Struthio camelus: one gene and its partners. Each later gene encodes a partner of the first gene's protein in a complex. Links are inferred from orthologs where the notes say so. Each region holds a gene or a part of one and is shown on either strand. Other genes may lie near its edges.

The links.
Region 2: the proteins of CRHR2 (region 1) and UCN are in contact, whole or in part, in a cryo-EM structure (PDB 7TS0), measured with the Homo sapiens proteins. The link is inferred for Struthio camelus from reciprocal best matches to the Homo sapiens genes CRHR2 and UCN. Residues at the interface, in NP_001874.2 of Homo sapiens: Phe68, Asn69, Gly70, Val71, Tyr73, Ile101, Leu102, Asp103, Asp104, Arg107, Asp110, Tyr113, Leu117, Asn120, Trp166, Leu169, Gln170, Val172, Asp173, His174, His177, Glu178, Thr188, Phe191, Asn192, Phe199, Phe256, Gly257, Lys258, Asp265; in NP_003344.1 of Homo sapiens: Asn84, Pro85, Ser86, Leu87, Ser88, Ile89, Asp90, Leu91, Thr92, Phe93, His94, Leu95, Leu96, Arg97, Thr98, Leu99, Leu100, Leu102, Arg104, Thr105, Ser107, Gln108, Arg111, Ala112, Asn115, Phe119.
Region 3: the proteins of CRHR2 (region 1) and GNA11 are in contact, whole or in part, in a cryo-EM structure (PDB 7TRY), measured with the Homo sapiens proteins. The link is inferred for Struthio camelus from reciprocal best matches to the Homo sapiens genes CRHR2 and GNA11. Residues at the interface, in NP_001874.2 of Homo sapiens: Arg148, Tyr208, Leu209, Ala212, Ile213, Thr216, Glu220, Lys293, Lys307, Ala311, Phe358, Tyr359, Phe362, Asn363; in NP_002058.2 of Homo sapiens: Arg37, Ile348, Leu349, Asn352, Leu353, Glu355, Tyr356, Asn357, Leu358.

What each region holds. Positions count from the first base shown.
Region 1 is NC_090943.1:5,457,846-5,465,488, forward strand, and holds the start of CRHR2 (corticotropin-releasing factor receptor 2), read left to right. Parts: upstream 1-4,255; 5' UTR 4,256-4,340; coding exon 4,341-4,406; intron 4,407-7,643. UniProt on the Homo sapiens protein: G-protein coupled receptor for CRH (corticotropin-releasing factor), UCN (urocortin), UCN2 and UCN3. Has high affinity for UCN.
Region 2 is NC_090944.1:1,024,195-1,029,808, forward strand, and holds UCN (urocortin), read left to right. Parts: upstream 1-4,237; coding exon 4,238-4,552; downstream 4,553-5,614. UniProt on the Homo sapiens protein: Acts in vitro to stimulate the secretion of adrenocorticotropic hormone (ACTH). Binds with high affinity to CRF receptor types 1, 2-alpha, and 2-beta. Plays a role in the establishment of normal hearing thresholds.
Region 3 is NC_090967.1:7,834,960-7,842,766, forward strand, and holds the start of GNA11 (guanine nucleotide-binding protein subunit alpha-11), read left to right. Parts: upstream 1-4,386; 5' UTR 4,387-4,493; coding exon 4,494-4,629; intron 4,630-7,807. UniProt on the Homo sapiens protein: Guanine nucleotide-binding proteins (G proteins) function as transducers downstream of G protein-coupled receptors (GPCRs) in numerous signaling cascades.

The DNA of each region.
Region 1 (7,643 bases):
TTTGTAGCAGTTCTGAGCTGTCACAGCTTCTCTGGAAGTTTAGCATTATTAGCTTGGAGACTTAGATACGGTTGATAAGTACTTAAAACTGGATTCACTCAGCTCTGCAAAAGAGACTTAAAAACCTACCTAAGATCCCTAATACGGAGTCAGTCTGTCCACCTTCCCAAAGAGCCTGCATTATTCGAATGCTGACAATGGGAGTGAAACCTGCATTTTGTGCTGAGTGTAGACAGCCTAGGTCAAGGTTGAGACGAATGCCAGAAACTGAACCCAGACTGTTTGGATGTTTTTATCCAACGATTGTCCAGTATAAAGTGCAAGCACCACTCTGCATCCACCCATGTCTGTGATCACCACATGTTCATCTCTTTCTGATCCCAGGACTTTTTCAGTCCAGGCCCAGCTTCAGAGAAGATACGGAGCATGCTTACTCAGGGTACTCATAGGACAGATGCAGCAACTAGAGTTTAGTCCCCGTAAACTGACTCCTATGATGAACCGAACACCTACGGTGTTCTTCGCAGATCAGTAGTCCAGCAATGTTATCCGTCTCATCGCTTCACTGGGAACATATCCTTGGAAGAGAGCTACAAACTCTGGGTCTTACCTGGATAGAGACATTTGATATTTCCTGATGGTTTCTTCCACTCTTGCTGAAAAATGTCTCATCCCTCTGGGAGATTGTCTAACATTTCAGTGATACAAAGTTGGCATCTTATTCATTCTGATTCCACCCTTTGGATACTTATATCTTGTGGGATGTCCTCATTATTATTATTATGACTTTTTTGGGAATTATTTAGTTATACTGTAGGAACTTCTCAGGGTTCCATACATGGCAAGGCCTTTACTGTGTTAGATGTTACACCAAGAGCTGGCTGTGCCCTCCCTCCAGGGAGAATGTTGTCTGTATGGTTTGGCTGCTGACAGCAGTGGGAATACTTGCAGGCTTGGAGTTGAAGATAAGTCCTTTCAGGACTCAGGCTTTAAGAAGTGAAACCCTCCTAAACAAACAAGGGGAAGTCATCCTTGTATGGGCACAATTGCAAGAAATATCTGAAAGTCATTTAGGCAGGAACTGAACAATTGGATCCATGCCATGATCCCATATGCAGCCTCTCTCCATCAGACTGATCAAAATTGTCACGTTCTTCTCCTGCATTCCTGAGTCTCTCTGTACTGACCTGATGTTTCTTATTCTTTTTCATAAAAGGGCAAGGCTTATATGTCACATCTACATGCACCTGTGTGTGTGTGTATATATCTGTGTCTGCAGATGTCTCTCTGTCTCCATTTTAACTCTTTGACCGATTTCATTCATAAAGCCAGCTATGGTGAATGTTCCTGCAAGTTTTATAGAAAGAGATGGTTGGGAGAAGAGTCCCCAGGAGCGTGCTGATTGAAAGAAAAGCTGCAGCACAAGCTCAGCCCTTAAGTAAAAAAAGGAGATCCGACGGAGAGTGACCTTATAACCAACCCCATCAATGAAAAGCTTTGGCTGGAGTTCACAATCAGCTGTAAGGGAAAAAGCCCTGGAAACGAGGCTGAGGGAATGACTTGTTTAATCCTTAGACAGTCACAATTTAGGGCGGTTTTGTTCTGTTTCAGTGCAGCCTTTACCATTATAAGGCTTTGGTTCTAGATAGTGCAATAAACATAGATAAATGATAACAGAAAGCTGTGGAGCAGCGTGGTGAAAAACCTTTCTGATTTCAGGGCAGCTGACCTATGTCTATGCATGTGCAGCTTCAGGCTTCCTTTGCTGATTCTCGTGCATTCACATAATCCTGTTGCATGTGTGTTTCCAGTCCTGGAGGTGGATATTTAAATACAATAAAAAACTGCTGGATTTATTTCTTCTTTTGCATTTTCATGAAAGCATTCATATTAATTGGAAGCATACAACTTTGGGTTTATGGTTTTGTTTTCTTTTAATAACAAAAGGAAACAAATATTAGTGTGCAACTGACAGGGGAGGAAGAACCAGGCAAGCTTAAATATTTAAATGCATTCAGACCGTTGAATAGCCAAAGGAAAAGAGAAAATAATACTGCTTTTTGAAAACTTTTGCTGGTGTGTTAGGAGGAGTATTCCAGGTTCACTATTGTATGTAACTGCACATCTCCCTACTATGAGATTCACATTGTATTAAGTGACATTATTAAATGGGATTTACAGACTTAAGCCTCTTTGTTGTGAGGATGAGAAGTTGCTGGTTTATACCTTTCTGAGAAAACTTCAAAAAGCAAAATAATTCAACAGCCCTCAAAGAAAGATATCCAGTTATTCTGGCTCTAAGTGAGGCTTGCTAAGCTTATGCAAACCCTGAGGATTTGTTGTGTAAAAGGGACTCTTTCCTCTGTGCCACTATGAACCTCATGCCAATCAATTTTGTTAAAAAATAAATAAAAAATAGAGGATTGGTGGGCAGGGAGTGTCTCAGGGAGGAAACGGCATCACCTCCCTGAAAGAAGACCATTGGCAACAGGTGACCTGGGCAGGCTTTCCCCATTAGAGGTGACAGTATGTGACACTGCTCCCTGCTGAAATCCAGCACGGGGCTGGGAAGGAACAGGTTGTACCTGTTTCTGCTCCAGAATTATAACTGAGGTTCATGCACTGCCTGTGGACGCAGATCAGCTTTTGGGGACAGTCCCAGCTGCAGTTGTGAGCAGATATTGATTGTGATTCACATTGCAGCTGGCTGTCCTCTGGGCAGATGAGACTGAGTGGAGAGGGAAAATCCTGCTAGGCTTAATGCTAATACTGGGCAGCCCAGAGTCTGATGCTGGCAGTCTAACAATACCACAAATGCATCCATTGCATGGACAGACCTATCTGGATGCAGAAGGCAGGGAGTTATTAGTTTTTAGGTACAGGAGTTATGGGCCCCAACTGTGTCTGGTGTCCAAATCCATAAAACTCCTGTTCATTTAGCACCAACAGCCACCCTGAGCAGAGGGGTGAGGAGTCAGAGCAGAGGGCCAGGAGCCCCTAGGGCAAGGGTGTCCGGGTGCGCATGGCATGAGGCTATGGGGTGACCTCGTTTTGCCTTTGCTGGCCTAGGGGTCCAGTCTGATAAGTATTCATGGATGAGAAGAGCAGGACAGAGATCTCTTTATGGAGATCAAATGCACAAGGAACAGCCACGCAGGCTGTTTTTGGCTTGCCTGGCTTGGAGGTTGTTCCCAGCTGAGAGGTGCAGTTGAGGAGTCTCACAAGGCAAACAAGGAGTGCTCTACGCTTAGGACGCTGACTGGAAAGCCTCCCCATTGCAGCTAACGAATAGCAAAGAGTATCCCCGTGCGCCCGCAGATTTGAGGGGAGGTGTTCTGATGAACTTGGTAAAGGATAAGCTAGAGCCCCCTTGCTCTTGGGGTACCCAAGAGGACTTGCTTCTGGTTATCATGGAGAGGCAGGTCCCCATTGCACCTAGGACCGTTGCATCTAGTCCTCAGGGGATCCCCACTATTCCAGGAGACTTGTCAGGTTGTTCTTCTAACAGATAGCACCAGGGAGAATTCCCCCTTTGAGGCAGAGGCTTGTGAGAGGTCCCCAGCGCACCAACACCCTGGGCGGTGAGGGACGCTGTTGATCCTAAGAGTTTCTTGGTGATAGAGTCCCCATTGCACCTAATGCTGGGGAGGGGGAGCGGGATTCTCATTACCCCTGGAGGCTTTTAGGGGTACGTCCATTGCACCTGGTTGTGGGGCAGGGTCCCCGTTGCACCTAGAGCAAGGGGGAATCCCATTGCTCCTGGAGAGTTATGTGTGTGTGTGTGGGGGGGGGGGGTCCCCATTACTTCTGGAGGTTTGCATCGGAGGCATCCCCCGTTTCAACCAACCCTTTGGGGAAGGGAATCGCCACGGCACTTAGCGCTTGGCAGGGGCTGACCCCCGTTGCTGCTGGCGGGTTGGGGGCAGTGGAGTCCCTACTGCAGCTAGTGCCCGTCGGCGGAGGTGGGGCAGAGATCCCTCTTGCACTCAGTGTGTGTGTGTGGGGGGGGGGGTCTCCGGAGAGGGAGCTCTCCCTTGCTCCGGGAGGCTTTGGGGGGGGTCACCGTCCCCGGGGGCTCCTCTAGCCGCCTCCATCCCCGAGGCGTCCCGGGCGGAGGGCGGGTTTGGCTCCCCCGCCCGGCTCCCTCCCTCCCTCCCTCCCGGGGGTTTGCCCTGGGACGCGCCGGCGGCGCCGGGGCTGGCTCCTCCGCGGGCGGGCAGGGGTCAAGGGCAGCGGCCGGGGGGGGGGGGGGGGGAGATGCCAGAGCCGGGGCATTGCGGAGGCTCCGGCTGAGCGGGCAGCTCCAGCCCCGGAGAGACCCCCTGGGCCCCGCCGGCCTCATGGCGGGGCGGGCACCGCAGCGCAGCCTCCCGGCGGCCGCCGCCGCCGCCCTCCTGCTCCTGCCCGTAAGTGCCGAGGCCCGTTGGGGCCGTGGAGGGGGTGGCGCGGAGGGGCGAGGCGGGGGGAGAGGGGAGTCAGGGAAGGAGGGACGAGGACGCCCCACCACTGCGGGGAACCCCCTCGGTCTGGGAGGGAGCGGTGGCTGCGCTCCGCTTCCTCACGGGTCCCGCCCGCCGCTGAGGGACCCCCTGTGCCGGCGGCCGTTAACGGCTCCCTCCGTCTCCAGGCCCTGAGAGACCTCGGCCCGGTGGCCGTTAACGGCTCCCTCGCAGACCCCGCCCCCATCGCCGGCCACTGAGACCCCCTCCCCGTGCCCGTTGCCCACTCCCTCCGTCTCCAGGCACTGGGTGACCCCATCCCGGAGGCTGTTTCCCAACTGCTCCCTCACAATCCCGCACCATCCCTGGGTGCTGAGAGACCCTCTCTTGGCGGCCGTTACCTGCTCCCTCGCAATCCCGCCGGGCGCTGAGAGACCCCGTCCCCGTAGCCGTTAACGGCTCCCTCACCATCCTGCCCCATCGCTGGGCGCTGAGAGACTCCGTCCTGGTGGTTGGTCACCGCTGGGAACGACATGATCCCCTCCGAGCCTCCAGGCTGAGGCATGGCCTCTCTGGGCAGCCCCTTGTCAGGGAAGGAGCTGCTTCCCCTTTCCCCACGCCCTGATTCCCTTGGTGAAAAGGCCCAGCGTGGGGACCCGCCTGGGGTGGCAGCGCCAGCCCCAAAGGCTGTCCCTGCCCCACACGAAAGGGCTTTTCCTGCCACCTCTCCACTTCAGCGGGAGCACGAGTGGCCCAGGTGCTTCCCCTCATCCTCAGCCTCCCACCCACAGCCAACCTCCTTCTCCCCGCCGCGTGCGCTCAGTGTCCCATTACTCTTTCGCCGTAGGGATACGCAAATAAATAGTGGTGGTGAAGGACAGGGCTCAGCCCTTGCATCCAGTGTCGTGTTTGCTCTGCGGCCTGTGTCAGCCTGGGCTTAAAAAATCTTTCCTAGCCCAGGCTCCAAAGTTGGACCAACTTTTTTGGTGGCTTGTTTGTTTTAAGTGATAGTTTTACGCATGTTGAGTGATACTTGCAAAGCAAATGTGAGAGATTAAGCAGGAGATACATTGATCTTGCTTGTAATTCGTTACAGTTGTTGCTGTAGCGTTAAAAAAGGGGGCAGTGGTCCTTCTGGCTTGTAGTGCAATTGGCCCATCTTCAATATCCCCTTAGAAAAAAGGAAGAAAAGCTGTTTTATTGTCACCTGTTCTATCTTGTTTTGTTATCTAACTTTATAAAGAAGGGTAAAGGGAAGCCAGGTCTGGGAAAGCAAGAGGCTCGAAAGGAAAACAACTTCTTGTTAAGAGCTTCGCAGTCACTTTCTAGATCTTGGAAGAGAGAGCATTTTCTCAGCTTCGCTGATGCCTTTTTTACCAGTCAGAGATCAGGGCACATGGGATCAGAGTGGCATGAGCCTGTCTACACACTTGCTGTTTTCAATTGCAAACCTCACTTCTTCTTAGTCTCTGCTTCTGCCCTCTTCAATTCTAGAGTTTTGTTTCCCCTTGTTGCTTTCCCCAGCTCCAGAAAAATAGTTTAGTTTATGTTTTAAACTATGAGAGACTTCTTGCCAGTGAGGCTGACAGAGCCAAAGGTACCCAGAGTTGCCAGACTAATCCTTTTTCAGTGAATCAAATTATGTCGTGCGTTTCCACTCCAGATGCAATTTATGGACAGATTTTCAGTTTTCCGTAACTTTGCATTTGGATTATTTATGTAAATTTTGGTGGTTGGCTTGCTTCTTTAAAGACAAAACAACTTCCTTGAAAGAAAGATTTTGTTTTCAAAGTAGCGCAGATTAAGAATCAAAATGCCATTTCCAGAAAATCCTTTTATTCTGAGAGAAATGTATATTTTGAGTGTATTCTGAGTGTGCTTATGTGGAGGAGTGTGTCTGGATGTAGCACATTTGTGTCTGATACACACTCGTGTGTATGTTTGTGCTGTATGTTGTGATAATGTGCTTGAACACCATCTTCAGCCGTATGTACAGGTCACTCCTGTTGCTCCAGTTATAAGAAATGTGGAGCTTTTACTCTTCTTTTGGGGTTGTTTTCATCCATGAATGTAGCTGGCAAATCTGTATCTCTGCTTTAATTTAGACAAAATTTTGCACCCTGAAGCTTAAGAGCAACCTTTAAAAACGTTGGCTCATATCCAAAGCTCTCAAGTTCAGGTATAACTTGCAAACACTTGAAAGTTAACTTGGAGTCAATGTTGTCTATTCACATTTCTGGATTTGGGAAAAGACATAGCTGCTGCTTGTGGGAGCAAACCCTTATATGATTACATAAAGGAAGCTTGAGTTTTTACAGCAACTGAACAATTGTGTTTTATAGGAACTACAAATTTGCAACACTTAAGAAACGAGGCAACTTTCTAGTACAGAATTAGATCTGCCACATGAAAGTGCTGGTGCAAATGATCTGTCAGATTTCTCAGGGCTGGTCAGCAGAAGGGTGAAGACTTACACAGCGGGCTCTGAGATTTATGTTCTCCAGAGGGTTTCTGTACATATGATACAGTGGAAAATGCATATACTTGAATGTGAAAAACAAACAAACAAACCATAAAACAAAGGCAATTGAGTCCTTTGACATTTTGATATAGAGTCCTTGCTAAGCTCACATATTTGGGGGGAAGGGGAAAGATTTGTCAAAAACAAAAGCAAAGTTTGCTATAATTCCATATGCTCTCCTGAAACTATTAAAATAGCCAGAGCAGTTTGAATATATCAGCCAGTGGTGACGAGTTAAGTAATATTCCTGGTCTGAGACTGCCAAAATTCAGGCCTACTGTGAATTAATGCAGCATAAATGTCTCATCATGAGACGCCTCTGCTGGTGTAACACTTTGGCAGGGTTGAAAACTGTAGCCATCCTGTGGTAATTGCTGTACATTTGAAGGAGACAGTTGTATGCAAGGAAAAAAGGGTGATTGATGTTGATTGGTAGTTTTGCCATGATATTCATAGTGGCTGTCAGCTAGAAAACAAGCAGCCTTCAGCTTTTGTTGGTATAAAGCATCTGCTTATATTTTACTATTCCATCAATAGCTGGGGAGAAATAATGACTAAGTCCTCTAAACTCTGTGGCCCTTGTATAGCAAACTAGACCACAGTTCTTTCTGTCTTACTTCTTGTGTGCCTCCGTTGAAGCTAGGGGAGGAAGATGGTGTGCGGATCTCATTGCAGAGCATGTG
Region 2 (5,614 bases), on another chromosome or scaffold:
GTCAAGCAGATAGGCCCAAAGCAATGCGTGTGAGAGATGAGACCTGCACAGTGCACCCTGCGCAGGGCCGGGGTCCACAGAGCCCTCCTATCTGCAGGTCCTTCAGTGCCTGAGGGGCCACAGAGAGGCTCCAGCTCCAGGACTGCCTGTCCAGCCACCGAGCACCGCCTGCCCAGCCGGCCACCACCGCCCAGAGCCTCGTGCAGCAGCCGCCTGCCCACACTGCCGCCGGCTCAGCACGCGCTGCGCAGCCCCGGAGCTGCAGCAGCCCCCTTGGCCCAGCAACCTAGCACCCCCCCCACCTGCCCCCATGATAGCCCTGGCAGAGAAACACCCTCCTCGTGCCCAGGTGGTTGGACACGTTAGGGCCCCTCATCCTGGGCCCACTGGGGGGGGGGGGGGTCATGTTGAGCAGCGGTCAGGGGCTGCAGACAGGAGTGTGCAGCCTGCGGCTGTGCCTGGGGCAGCAGGAAGGGCCTGGCGCGGTCCCTGGGAGCGAGCTACAAGCACGGCACGAGCTGGGCAGTTGTGCCTGGGACCACCAGCCCTGCCAAGGCAGGACTGCAAAGGCGTTGGGAGCGTCGGCCCGGGCCCTGCTGGGCTCTGCACCAGAGCTGCGGGAAAGGCGGTGCCAGGCTTCACGCCAGCTCCGTGTCGGGGGCCATATGGTGCTGTGCGCTGCCTCGCTGTGGGCAGGATGGTGCCCCACTGCATCTGCACAGCTGTATGTGGGAAACGCGGTGCTACGGCCAGGGTGAACCACTGCCCCAGGCTCTGCAAAAGGTCTGCACTGTGAAAAGACCCCACTTAGAGCCCATCTTAGCACTGGCATTGGAGCTGGTGGCAAAGTGGTTCCCCTTGGCCACAAAGTGCCACGAGGCCAAAGTTCAGGGCTGCAGGGAGGGCCACAGCGTTCAAGGGCCTGCAAGAGCCGTGCAGTGCACCAGCAACCACCCTTGCCTCTTGGCAGCAGTGGCTGGTGCCCAGAGCTGGAACATCCTGCATGCACCAGCAGCACCGTGGGCTCGCGGTGCCTTCGCACTATGAGTCACAGCTATTTGGCTAGTGGTGCTTCCTTGCTGTTTTGGGCTGTCTGCAGAGCTTGGCCCTCAGAGCGCGTGGCAGTTTGACCTCCACACCTGTGAGCGCTGCCAGGGGCACGGTGCCACCTGGCTGGGCCGCACTGGCCTGGGTGGGAGAGCTGCTCGCCGGGTCGCATGTGCCTGACCCGTAGCTGTCCCGTGTTGGGAGGCCCGGTGGCTGAGGTCTGTCATCCCCCAGGAATGGTCCCCACTGCTGCCACCTGCCACGTGCTGAGTCTGGTGCCTCCCCCGGGAGCTGGGCACAGTGCCCCCCCCCCCCCCGGGCCGGGCCCCACAGAGGAGCCCATGGCCGGCACGCTGCAGCCCCAAGCTGCCAGCCCGGGCCGGTGTGGCGGAATGGGATGGGACGGGGCAGGATGGGACGGTGCAGGATGGGACAGGACAGGGTGGGATGGGACGGGGTGGAACGGGATGAGATGGGATGGGACAGGATGGGACGAGGTGGGGTGGGACGGGATGGGGCAGGATGGAGTGGGATGGGACGGGGTGGAACAGGATGAGATGGGATGGGACTGGGTGGGATGGGATGGGACGGGACAGGACAGGATGGAACGAGATGGGATGGGACAAGATGGGATGGGATGGGATGGGGCAGGACGGGGTGGAACAGGATGAGATGGGATGGGACTGGGTGGGATGGGATGAAACGGGATGGGACAGGATGGGACGAGGTGGGACGGGACGGGGTGGGATGGGATGGGGCAGGATGGGGTGGGATGGGATGGGGTGGAACAGGATGAGATGGGATGGGACTGGGTGGGATGGGATGGGATGGGACGGGACAGGACAGGATGGAACGAGATGGGATGGGATGGGATGGGGCAGGACGGGGTGGAACGGGACGAGATGGGATGGGACTGGGTGGGATGGGACGGAACGGGATGGGATGGGATGGGACAGGACAGGACGAGGTGGAATGAGATGGGCTGGAACGAGACAGGACGAGATGGGATGGGATGGGACAGGACAAGATGGGATGGGACGAGGTGGGATGGGATGGGACAGGATGGGATGGGACGGGATGGGACGAGGTGGAATGGGACGGGGTGGGACGGGACGGGATGGGACGGGATGGGGCAGGACGGGATGGGCTGGGATGGGGCAGGAGGGGACGAGATGGGACGAGGTGCGACGGGACGGGATGGGGGCCCCGGGCGCACGGCCCTGGCCGGGCCCGCCCACCCCGCTGCCGCTTCAGCACCGCGGACAGTGGCACCGCGGCGGGTGGGGGTGCGCGGCCGCGCGGCCAACCGGGGGCGGAGGGGGTGCACCGGGGGGCCGGGGGTGCACGAGGGTGGAGATGGGGGTGCACTGGGGGGGGGGGGCGGGAAAGGTGCACGAGGGCGAGGATGGGATGCACCGGGGGAGGGCGAGGATGCACGAGGGTGGAGATGGGGTGCACCGGGGGGTGCACGAGGGTGGAGATGGGGTGCACCGGGGGACAGGGGGGTGGAAGAGGGCGGGGATGGGGTGCACGGGCGAGGGGGGGGCCGGGAAAGGTGCACGAGGGCGAGGATGGGATGCACCGGGGCGGGGGGGCGAGGATGCACCAGGGTGGAGATAGGGTGCACCGGGGGCCGGGAAAGGTGCACGGAGGTGGGGCCGGGATGCACCGGGGGGCCGGGGGGTGCACGAAGGTAGAGATGGGGTGCACCGGGGGCCGGGGGGGGTGCACGGAGGTGGGGATGAGGTGCACCGGGGGCCGGGAGGGGTGCACGGAGGTGGGGCCGGGGTGCTGCGCAGTGAACTAAGGGGTCGGGAGGGGTGCACCGGGGGCAGATGGGGTGCACCGTGAGTGGGGCCGGGGTGCACGGGTGGACGGCTCCGTGTACCGGGGGTGCAGCTGTAGTGAACCGTCGGGCTGTGTCCGCCGCCCGACGGGGGGGTGCGCTCGGTGCAGGGGGCCGGGGCGGCACCCCCGGGAGCTCGGCACCTGCGGGGCCCGCACCCTCCGGGCCAGGCGGCAACGGCAAGGCGGGCGCGGCCGCCGCAGCCTCTGCCGGTGCGCGCAGGGCCGGCCCCGGGGCGCCGCCGTCCCGGGGCCCCTTCCGCGCTCCCCGCCGCCCCCCCCCCCCCGCCCCCGGTCGGCCGGTGCGTGCCCGGCGCTGACGTCAGCCCGAGCTCCCGGCCCTATATCAGCACCGGTCGCGCCGCCGGCTCAGCTCCCGCGGGACCGACCGCGCTCTGCTCCACCTCCAGCGCTCCGGCACGGGACAGGGCACCGCACACCGGGTACGGCACGGTGCACGGGGCTGGGGACGGTGCACGGGGCTGTGGGACGGTGCACGGGGCAGGGAGCGGTGCATGGGGCTGGGGACGCTGCACGGGGCTGTGGGACGGTGCACGGGGCAGGGAGCGGTGCATGGGGCTGGGGACGGTGCACCGGCTGTGGGACGGTGCACGGGGTAGGGAGCGATGCACGGGGCTGGGGACAGCGCCCGGCGCCCCGGCTGCGGAGCAGTGCACGGGGCTGGGGACGCTGCACGGGGCTGTGGGACGGTGCACGGGGCAGGGAGCGATGCATGGGGCTGGGGACGGTGCACCGGCTGTGAGACGGTGAATGGGGCAGGGAGCGATGCATGGGGCTGGGGACGGTGCACCGGCTATGGGACGGTGCACGGGGCAGGGAGCGATGCATGGGGCTGGGGACGGTGCACCGGCTGTGGGACGGTGCACGGGGCAGGGAGCGATGCATGGGGCTGGGGACGGTGCACCGGCTGTGGGACGGTGCACGGGGCAGGGAGCGATGCATGGGGCTGGGGACGGTGCACCGGCTGTGGGACGGTGCACGGAGCTGGGGACGATGCACGGGGCTGCGGGACAGTGCACGGGGCTGCGGGACGGTGCACCGGGCAAGGGAGGGTGCACCGGGCAGGGAGCGATGCATGGGGCTGGGGACGCTGCACCGGCTGTGGGACGGCGCACGGGGCTGGGGACAGTGTACGGGGTAGGGAGGGGTGCACGGGGCCGGGGACGGTGCACCGGGTGCGGGACGAGCCCCCGGGGCGCCGGTCCCCAAGCCTCCGTGTCCCCTCCGGCTCCTGGGTACGGGAGCCTCCCGGGACGCCGAGGCCGCGGGTCCCCCCGGTGCCCGCCACGCGCCCCGTGCTCCGCAGGTGCGGACGGAGCCCAGGATGCGGCGGGCGCTGCTCACCCTCCTGCTGCTGCTCGCCCGCCCGCCGCCGCCCGCCGCCGCCCGCCCCGCGCGCCCCGACGGCGCCGTCCCGGGGGCAGCGGCCGGGGCCGGGGCCGAGGCGCGGGGCCGCCCGGCCTGGCCGCCGCTGCCGCCGCCGCCCCGGGAGCCGTGGCGGGCGCGGCGGGACGAGCCGCCGCTCTCCATCGACCTCACCTTCCACCTCCTGCGGCACCTCCTGCTGCTCGCCCGCGCCCAGAGCCAGCGCGCCCGCGCCGACGACAACCGCCTCATCCTCGACGCCGTGGGCCGCTGAGGGGCCGCCCCGCCGCCGCCGCCGCATCCTCCTCCTCGCCGGGGGCCGCTGAGCGCCGCACCGGCCGCCCCGCCGGCACCGGCACCGGGCTGCGCCCGCTGCAACCGCCCCCTCCCGGCCGCCGGGGCAGGCGGGCGCGGTACCGGCCCCGGGACGGGTCGGCAGGCGCCGCCGGGCCGGCTCCGGTTTTGTAATAAACGTGGTGGAAACCCGCGGCCTGAGCGAGTGCGGGGCGGGGGCTGCGCGGGGCCGGGACCAGCGGGGCCGGCAGCGCCGAGCACACGGGGACCGGCGGAAGGGGGCTGTGCCCGGCCCCGCTGCCGGGGGGGGGATGCTGTGCCCGGGAGGGATTGCACCCCGCCGCCCCGGCGTGACAGGAGGTGGTGGTGGCTGTGGTGGGGGGCAGCGTGATGGGAACAAGAGGGGCTCCCGAGACCGGCCAAGCAGGGCAAGGGCCCCCGAGGTGTGCGTGCCCAGACGCTGGCAGCCGGGGCACCGGCGGGGTGGTCCTGCGCGGGAGGGACTCGGGGTGTGGGGCTCCTCTGCGGGGCAACGGCAGCTGGGCCAGGCCTGGAGGGGAGGGCAGCGAGGCGGGACGGCACGGTGGGAGGGGTGTTACAGAGCACCGACCCAGAGGAGGACATGGATGAAGCCTTCTCGAAGCAGTTGGAGGAAGTATCCTCATGGGGGACCCTGGTCCTCAAGGAGGGGGCTTGAACTTCCCCGGTATCAGCTGGAAGGGTGACATGGCAGGACACAAGCCATCACGGATGTTTTTTTTTGGGAGGGGGGTGTCAGGGGTGACTTCTAGATGCAGGTACTGGATGGGTCAACCTTGGGAGATACACAGTGAGGTCTGCTGGTCACTGACAAGGAAGCGCTGCCCGGGGATGTTACTAGCAGCCTTGGCTGTAGCAGCCATGAAATAGTGGAGTTCAGGCGCCAGAAGGGAGTGAGGAAAGTGCCTAGCTGAGTGCAAACCAGCATATTCATGAAACTGGTTTTGCCAGGGGGAGGGGGAAATCCCATGGGAAGGGTGAAGGAGCTCAGGAAAGCTGGCTG
Region 3 (7,807 bases), on another chromosome or scaffold:
CGGCCGACATCGACACATGCCCTCGCCAGCGCCGTGTGCCGGAGCACGTGCCGATCCGGAGGGTCCGGCCGAGGCCGACATCGACACATGCCCTCGCCAGCGCCATGTACCGGGGCACGCGCTGATCCGGAGGGTCCGGCCGAGGCCGACGCGCCCCTCGCCAGCGCCGTGTGCCGGAGCACGTGCCGATCCGGAGGGCCCGGCCGAGGCCGACGCGCCCCTCGCCAGCGCCGTGTGCCGGAGCACGTGCCGATCCGGAGGGTCCGGCCGAGGCCGACGCGCGCCCTCGCCAGCGCCGTGTGCCGGAGCACGTGCCGATCCGGAGGGTCCGGCCGAGGCCGACATCGACACATGCCCTCGCCAGCGCCATGTACCGGGGCACGCGCTGATCCGGAGGGTCCGGCCGAGGCCGACGCGCCCCTCGCCAGCGCCGTGTGCCGGAGCACGTGCCGATCCGGAGGGCCCGGCCGAGGCCGACGCGCCCCTCGCCAGCGCCGTGTGCCGGAGCACGTGCCGATCCGGAGGGCCCGGCCGAGGCCGACGCGCGCCCTCGCCAGCGCCGTGTGCCGGAGCACGTGCCGATCCGGAGGGCCCGGCCGAGGCCGACGCGCGCCCTCGCCAGCGCCGTGTGCCGGAGCACGTGCCGATCCGGAGGGCCCGGCCGAGGCCGACGCGCGCCCTCGCCAGCGCCGTGTGCCGGAGCACGTGCCGATCCGGAGGGCCCGGCCGAGGCCGACGCGCGCCCTCGCCAGCGCCGTGTGCCGGAGCACGTGCCGATCCGGAGGGCCCGGCCGAGGCCGACGCGCCCTCGCCAGCGCCGTGTGCCGGAGCACGTGCCGATCCGGAGGGTCCGGCCGAGGCCGACGCGCGCCCTCGCCAGCGCCGTGTGCCGGAGCACGTGCCGATCCGGAGGGTCCGGCCGAGGCCGACGCGCCCTCGCCAGCGCCGTGTGCCGGAGCACGTGCCGATCCGGAGGGCCCGGCCGAGGCCGACGCGCGCCCTCGCCAGCGCCGTGTGCCGGAGCACGTGCCGATCCGGAGGGCCCGGCCGAGGCCGACGCGCGCCCTCGCCAGCGCCGTGTGCCGGAGCACGTGCCGATCCGGAGGGCCCGGCCGAGGCCGACGCGCCCTCGCCAGCGCCGTGTGCCGGAGCACGTGCCGATCCGGAGGGTCCGGCCGAGGCCGACGCGCCCTCGCCAGCGCCGTGTGCCGGAGCACGTGCCGATCCGGAGGGTCCGGCCGAGGCCGACGCGCCCTCGCCAGCGCCGTGTGCCGGAGCACGTGCCGATCCGGAGGGCCCGGCCGAGGCCGACGCGCCCCTCGCCAGCGCCGTGTGCCGGGGCACGTGCCGATCCGGAGGGTCCGGCCGAGGCCGACGCGCCCTCGCCAGCGCCGTGTGCCGCGGCACGTGCCGATCCGGAGGGCCCGGCCGAGGCCGACGCGCACCCTCGCCAGCGCCGTGTGCCGGAGCACGTGCCGATCCGGAGGGTCCGGCCGAGGCCGACGCGCCCCTCGCCAGCGCCGTGTGCCGGAGCACGTGCCGATCCGGAGGGTCCGGCCGAGGCCGACGCGCCCCTCGCCAGCGCCGTGTGCCGGAGCACGTGCCGATCCGGAGGGTCCGGCCGAGGCCGACGCGCCCCTCGCCAGCGCCGTGTGCCGGGGCACGTGCCGATCCGGAGGGTCCGGCCGAGGCCGACGCGCCCCTCGCCAGCGCCGTGTGCCGGGGCACGTGCCGATCCGGAGGGTCCGGCCGAGGCCGACGCGCCCCTCGCCAGCGCCGTGTGCCGGGGCACGTGCCGATCCGGAGGGTCCGGCCGAGGCCGACGCGCCCCTCGCCAGCGCCGTGTGCCGGGGCACGTGCCGATCCGGAGGGTCCGGCCGAGGCCGACGCGCCCCTCGCCAGCGCCGTGTGCCGGGGCACGTGCCGATCCGGAGGGTCCGGCCGAGGCCGACGCGCCCCTCGCCAGCGCCGTGTGCCGGGGCACGTGCCGATCCGGAGGGTCCGGCCGAGGCCGACGCGCCCCTCGCCAGCGCCGTGTGCCGGGGCACGTGCCGATCCGGAGGGCCCGGCCGAGGCCGACGCGCGCCCTCGCCAGCGCCGTGTGCCGGGGCACGTGCCGATCCGGAGGGTCCGGCCGAGGCCGACGCGCCCCTCGCCAGCGCCGTGTGCCGGAGCACGTGCCGATCCGGAGGGTCCGGCCGAGGCCGACGCGCACCCTCGCCAGCGCCGTGTGCCGGAGCACGTGCCGATCCGGAGGGTCCGGCCGAGGCCGACGCGCCCCTCGCCAGCGCCGTGTGCCGGGGCACGTGCCGATCCGGAGGGCCCGGCCGAGGCCGACGCGCCCCTCGCCAGCGCCGTGTGCCGGGGCACGTGCCGATCCGGAGGGCCCGGCCGAGGCCGACGCGCGCCCTCGCCAGCGCCGTGTGCCGGAGCACGTGCCGATCCGGAGGGTCCGGCCGAGGCCGACGCGCCCCTCGCCAGCGCCGTGTGCCGGAGCACGTGCCGATCCGGAGGGTCCGGCCGAGGCCGACGCGCACCCTCGCCAGCGCCGTGTGCCGGAGCACGTGCCGATCCGGAGGGTCCGGCCGAGGCCGACGCGCGCCCTCGCCAGCGCCGTGTGCCGGAGCACGTGCCGATCCGGAGGGTCCGGCCGAGGCCGACGCGCGCCCTCGCCAGCGCCGTGTGCCGGAGCACGTGCCGATCCGGAGGGTCCGGCCGAGGCCGACGCGCGCCCTCGCCAGCGCCGTGTGCCGGAGCACGTGCCGATCCGGAGGGTCCGGCCGAGGCCGACGCGCGCCCTCGCCAGCGCCGTGTGCCGGGGCATGCGCTGATCCGGAGGGTCCGGCCGAGGCCGACGCGCGCCCTCACCAGCGCCGTGTGCCGGGGCATGTGCCGATCCGGAGGGTCCGGCCGAGGCCGACGCGCCCCTCGCCAGCGCCATGTACCGGGGCATGCGCTGATCCGGAGGGTCCGGCCGAGGCCGACGCGCGCCCTCACCAGCGCCGTGTGCCGGGGCACGTGCCGATCCGGAGGGTCCGGCCGAGGCCGACGCGCCCCTCGCCAGCGCCGTGTGCCGGGGCACGTGCCGATCCGGAGGGTCCGGCCGAGGCCGACGCGCCCCTCGCCAGCGCCGTGTGCCGGGGCACGTGCCGATCCGGAGGGTCCGGCCGAGGCCGACGCGCGCCCTCGCCAGCGCCATGTACCGGGGCACGCGCTGATCCGGAGGGTCCGGCCGAGGCCGACGCGCGCCCTCACCAGCGCCGTGTGCCGGGGCACGTGCCGATCCGGAGGGTCCGGCCGAGGCCGACGCGCCCCTCGCCAGCGCCGTGTGCCGGGGCACGTGCCGATCCGGAGGGTCCGGCCGAGGCCGACGCGCCCCTCGCCAGCGCCGTGTGCCGGGGCACGTGCCGATCCGGAGGGTCCGGCCGAGGCCGACGCGCCCCTCGCCAGCGCCGTGTGCCGGGGCACGTGCCGATCCGGAGGGTCCGGCCGAGGCCGACGCGCGCCCTCGCCAGCGCCATGTACCGGGGCATGCGCTGATCCGGAGGGCCCGGCCGAGGCCGACGCGCCCCTCGCCAGCGCCGTGTGCCGCAGCACGTGCCGATCCGGAGGGCCCGGCCGAGGCCGACGCGCCCCTCGCCAGGCCGCGAGCTGCAGCTCGTGGACGTGGCGGCGCCGGCTGCGGCCGGGGCTGCGGCTCGTTTCGGGAAGCGGGGCAGGAGGCCAAGGACGACGCTCCCCTCGCCGTGCGGGGGCAGCTGGGCCCTCACGGGAGCGGCCGCCGGCCGAGGGGGCAGCACCGGGCCCCGCGGCCGAGCAGCGCCCCGGCCCTGCCTCCTCCCTCCCTCCGGGCCGAGGGAAGGGTCGGGCCGCGGCCCGAAGCGGCCGCCGAGCCCTGGGCCCCGCAGGCCGGTCACCGCCCCCCCGCCGGGCCCGGCCCCGCCCGGCCCCGCCCGCCGCCGCCGCCGCCACCGCCCCGCGTCCTCCACCGTCCCACAATGCCCCGCGGCCACGCCCCGGCTCCCGAAGCGCGCGGCCGCGCGCCCTCCTCCCCCGACCGGCCAACCAAGCTTGCGCTCCGGCTGGCCGCGGGGCCCTGCCCCCGGCGCGCCTGGCCCCGCCCCGCGGCCGCGCCGCGCATCCCCAGTGGCCCTCGCGGCCGTCAGTCAGCGGTTGTTTTCAGCGGCAGCGGGTTGCGTTGCGCCCGCTCGTCGCTGGCTCGGCGGGGCGGTGTGAGAGGAGGGAGCGGCGGGCGGGCGGCGCGGCGGGGCCGAGGGCAGCGCGCTGAGGGCGGCGGCGGCGGCGCTAGGCCCGGCCGGGGGGGTCGAGGCCGGGGCCGCGCCGGGCCGGGCCGCGGCCGGGAGGGTGGGGAGGGGGCAGCGGGCCGCGAGGCCGCGCCGGGCCGGGCCGGGCCGGGCCCCGGCGTGCGGAGGAGGGCGGTGGGCGGCGGGGGGGTGGGGGGCGGGCGGGGGCGTCCCGGCGGCGGCGGGACCATGACTCTGGAGTCCATGATGGCCTGTTGCCTGAGCGACGAGGTGAAGGAGTCGAAGCGCATCAACGCCGAGATCGAGAAGCAGCTGCGGAGGGACAAGCGCGACGCCCGCCGCGAGCTGAAGCTGCTGCTGCTGGGTGAGAGCGGCCGGGCCGGGCCGGGCGGCGGTCCCGGCGCAGCGGGCGCACGTGGAAATCGCCTCGGGGAGGCGCGTCCGAGGCTGCCCGCGCCCGCGGGCCTCGGCGGTGCCCCGGCGCTTCTCGGCCTGGCCGGCCCACGCCTGGGCCGTGGGCGAGCGGCTGGGCGAAGGCTGGCCTGCCGCTCCCGAGGCGCCGAGCCCGCCGCTGGCCCGCTCTGGCAGACCTGGCGGGGCGCGGGCCAGGCGTTGAGCGTTACCTGCCGGGCTGGAGGTCCCCTGCGCTGTGATGAGGGTGTAGGAGTTGGCGTAGAAACATAGCGGTGTCCCGCCATTGTACAGAGCGATAGCTATACCTGGTTTACAAAAGGATTGCAGGGAGAGGTGGTCTGTTACAAGAGCAACCAGCTAAGGCTTCAAGAACGTGCATCCTTCTTCAGCATCTGCTGTGATGTTCACTCCCAGGTAGCTTCCAAATGAGACTTAAGTTACAGTTTTCGTGGGTACTGGAATTCATCACTGCTCACGTATGTATCCTGGTTTGTGTCTCAATAGTGGCATCATTTCAAACTGGAACGTGAAGCAGGTCTGATGGAATAAGTTTATTCATTTGTAGTCTGTACTGAACTGGCAAACCTGTAAGGCACAGGTGAAAAAGTAGGTTGAGCCTTGTGAAAACAAATGCGAGGCTGTATCTGCCCAGTCCTTTGGAGATCTGTAGCACTGACATGGTGGCATAGAGATATTTATTAAGTAAAGGCTATGGCTTTCCTTCTCACCTTGCTAGAACTCAGAGTGAGAAGATACCTTGGCTGTGGATATACTACTGTCCTTCAGGTGAAAGAGAAAACTGAGGGCTTCACATTTGTGTTCTTTGAAGATGCTGTGCTGGTTTCTATAAGGCTTCTTGTAGGCTGGGAAAGGTGTCTCTTGGACTCGGATACTTCTTTAAAACCTACAGTCCTACAGAAGCACTTGTTTTGAAGTAGGCTGGAGCCATAGGCCAGATATGGGCTAAGAAGATCCCCATCTAATCTCGCTAAACTGGTTCACTTCAGAAATTAACTTCAAGTTGCTCTAGAGACCTTTCTCTTTTCCTAAAAGATAGACTTAAGTAAGATTCAGCATCAGATTAAAAAATAAAAAAAAAATCAATGTGGGATGGTTAAGACTGAATAACTAACACTCCCATTTTCAGGACATGATTAGAAAGACCAAGCCTTTTTTCCTGTTTGCAGGGTGCTTTTCACTGTATGCAGTATTGCTCATTGCCTGTCTTAAGTTGTTGCAGGTAATGTATGTTCTCTCTCCTTGACAGAACTGCCGTTTGTAGGGTTTTCTTGTTTCTCGTTTCTGTTACGTAGTATTCTTACGTTCACAAACGTGAACGATCATGTTAGAGAGAGCTTTCTCCAAACGCTCAGTATTTTGAGAAGAATGTGTGTGGAGGGAGTTTCTGCACTGTAGAAGCTGTAGTAACTTTTTCCTGTCTTCTCTGTCTAGTGTGACAGTTAAAACTTGAGGTGAAGAATAACAGAGCTGTACGATGAACCTGATAGTGAGAAATGTGATTTCAAGGTACTGGACATACCCCCTGGTATTAGGCAATCATTGTTCTCTTTACTGGATGTGCGTGTGTAGGGGGGCTGTTTTAAACAAAAATTAATCTGATTCTTGAATTATGATTAAGCGTGGAATACTGTTGACTGAATAAATATATTTACAGGTGGCTGTCAGGTACTTGAGGATCAGTAGTAACTTACTGGAAACTCTACAGCTTTCACATGCTGACAGAAAAAATGGTGGGTTCAGGTTGTCTCCTTGGCTCAATGCTGTCAAATTAAAAAAAGTTATTGTGTCCTTATGAATATAGGCGACTACACTCAGCAGAGCTTGTAATGTTCTGCTGTGGTGCTGTTCTGTATTGTTGATGGCCTGCAAAAAAGCAAGAGGCACTTTTTTTTTAAGAGGGGAGTGATGATGAAGCGTTGGGAAGAATCTGTGTTTGAACTCTGAAGTTCTGAAGTAAGTGAGATCTGAAGTGAATGAATGCTGCTGAAGTTTGTTTTATGTTTTTGTTATCAGAACGTTTTGAGGCACCTCTATCTTTTTTTCTTTTTTCTGTTTTGGTTGCTGTGGTAAAAAACAAGGAAGTATTTCTCACCACAGTGTATTAACCACAGAAGATTTCGGTTTCCGAACTTCTGATTATTTTTTTTTTTCCCCTTTCTCTCCCCCTTCGTGGTGAAGCTTTCTGTTTCAGATAGAGACAGTTTACTGCAGGATAATGGTGGTTATGGTGCTAATTTCTAATTAGGCTGCCAAAAATCCCATCAGTTCTCAGAGACGGGGAGAGTTTGACTCTCTATTTTAAACACACTGCTTCTAGTTACACTTTTGCTGCTTGTATTTGAGCATATCTATTTGTTTGTCTTTTAGCCTGGTACTATAAACATGGGTAACTGGGAATCTACCTCTGAGTAGTGGTTGTGTGTTGTGACGAATGAGATCCTGTCTGAATATATCTGTCCCCTGGTGTGAGGTGACTACCTGGTGGTTCCTGTGGTGAAAGCCAGGGTTCTGCCAGCGTGTTTGTTTGTAACCACAGGTCAAAAGGATTTGTCGCTTAGGAGCCACGCTTTAGTTTTTTGCTCTTAGTAATCAAGTGAGTTGGGCCACTTTAATAATAAAGAGCTATCATTCTGGATTAGCTTTCTGTTAAATGCATATCAATAGCAAATTTTGGAAAATTGAGCAAAAGTACTCAACAGAAGTGTCAGTGGTGTATCCTTTGGCTGTTGCTTGTGGGATGAAAGTATGGAAGTATGCTAATCATACGTAAGATTTGACCCTTGCATCCCCTGCACGGAAGATATTGTGTAAACAGAGTGGAAGTTGCTGGGGGAATTCCATAACACCAGTTGAATCATGATTGTAACAAGGCTGGGTATGGCATGAATCCTTTATCTGCTGATGCTTTTTCCACCTCATGCTCACTGTGTTAGAGGGTTCCCGCCACCTTCGTATCCTCTGCTGGCCTTCAATTGCTAGCTGATGCTTTTCTGGAGCCTTAAATATGGGGGTGGGAAGACCTGCCCAACTGACTGTGCAGGAAGCAGACTTTGAAAGGGTTAGACTATTTAATACATTGGCATTGGTATGAATCTGTCTTGCCCTCC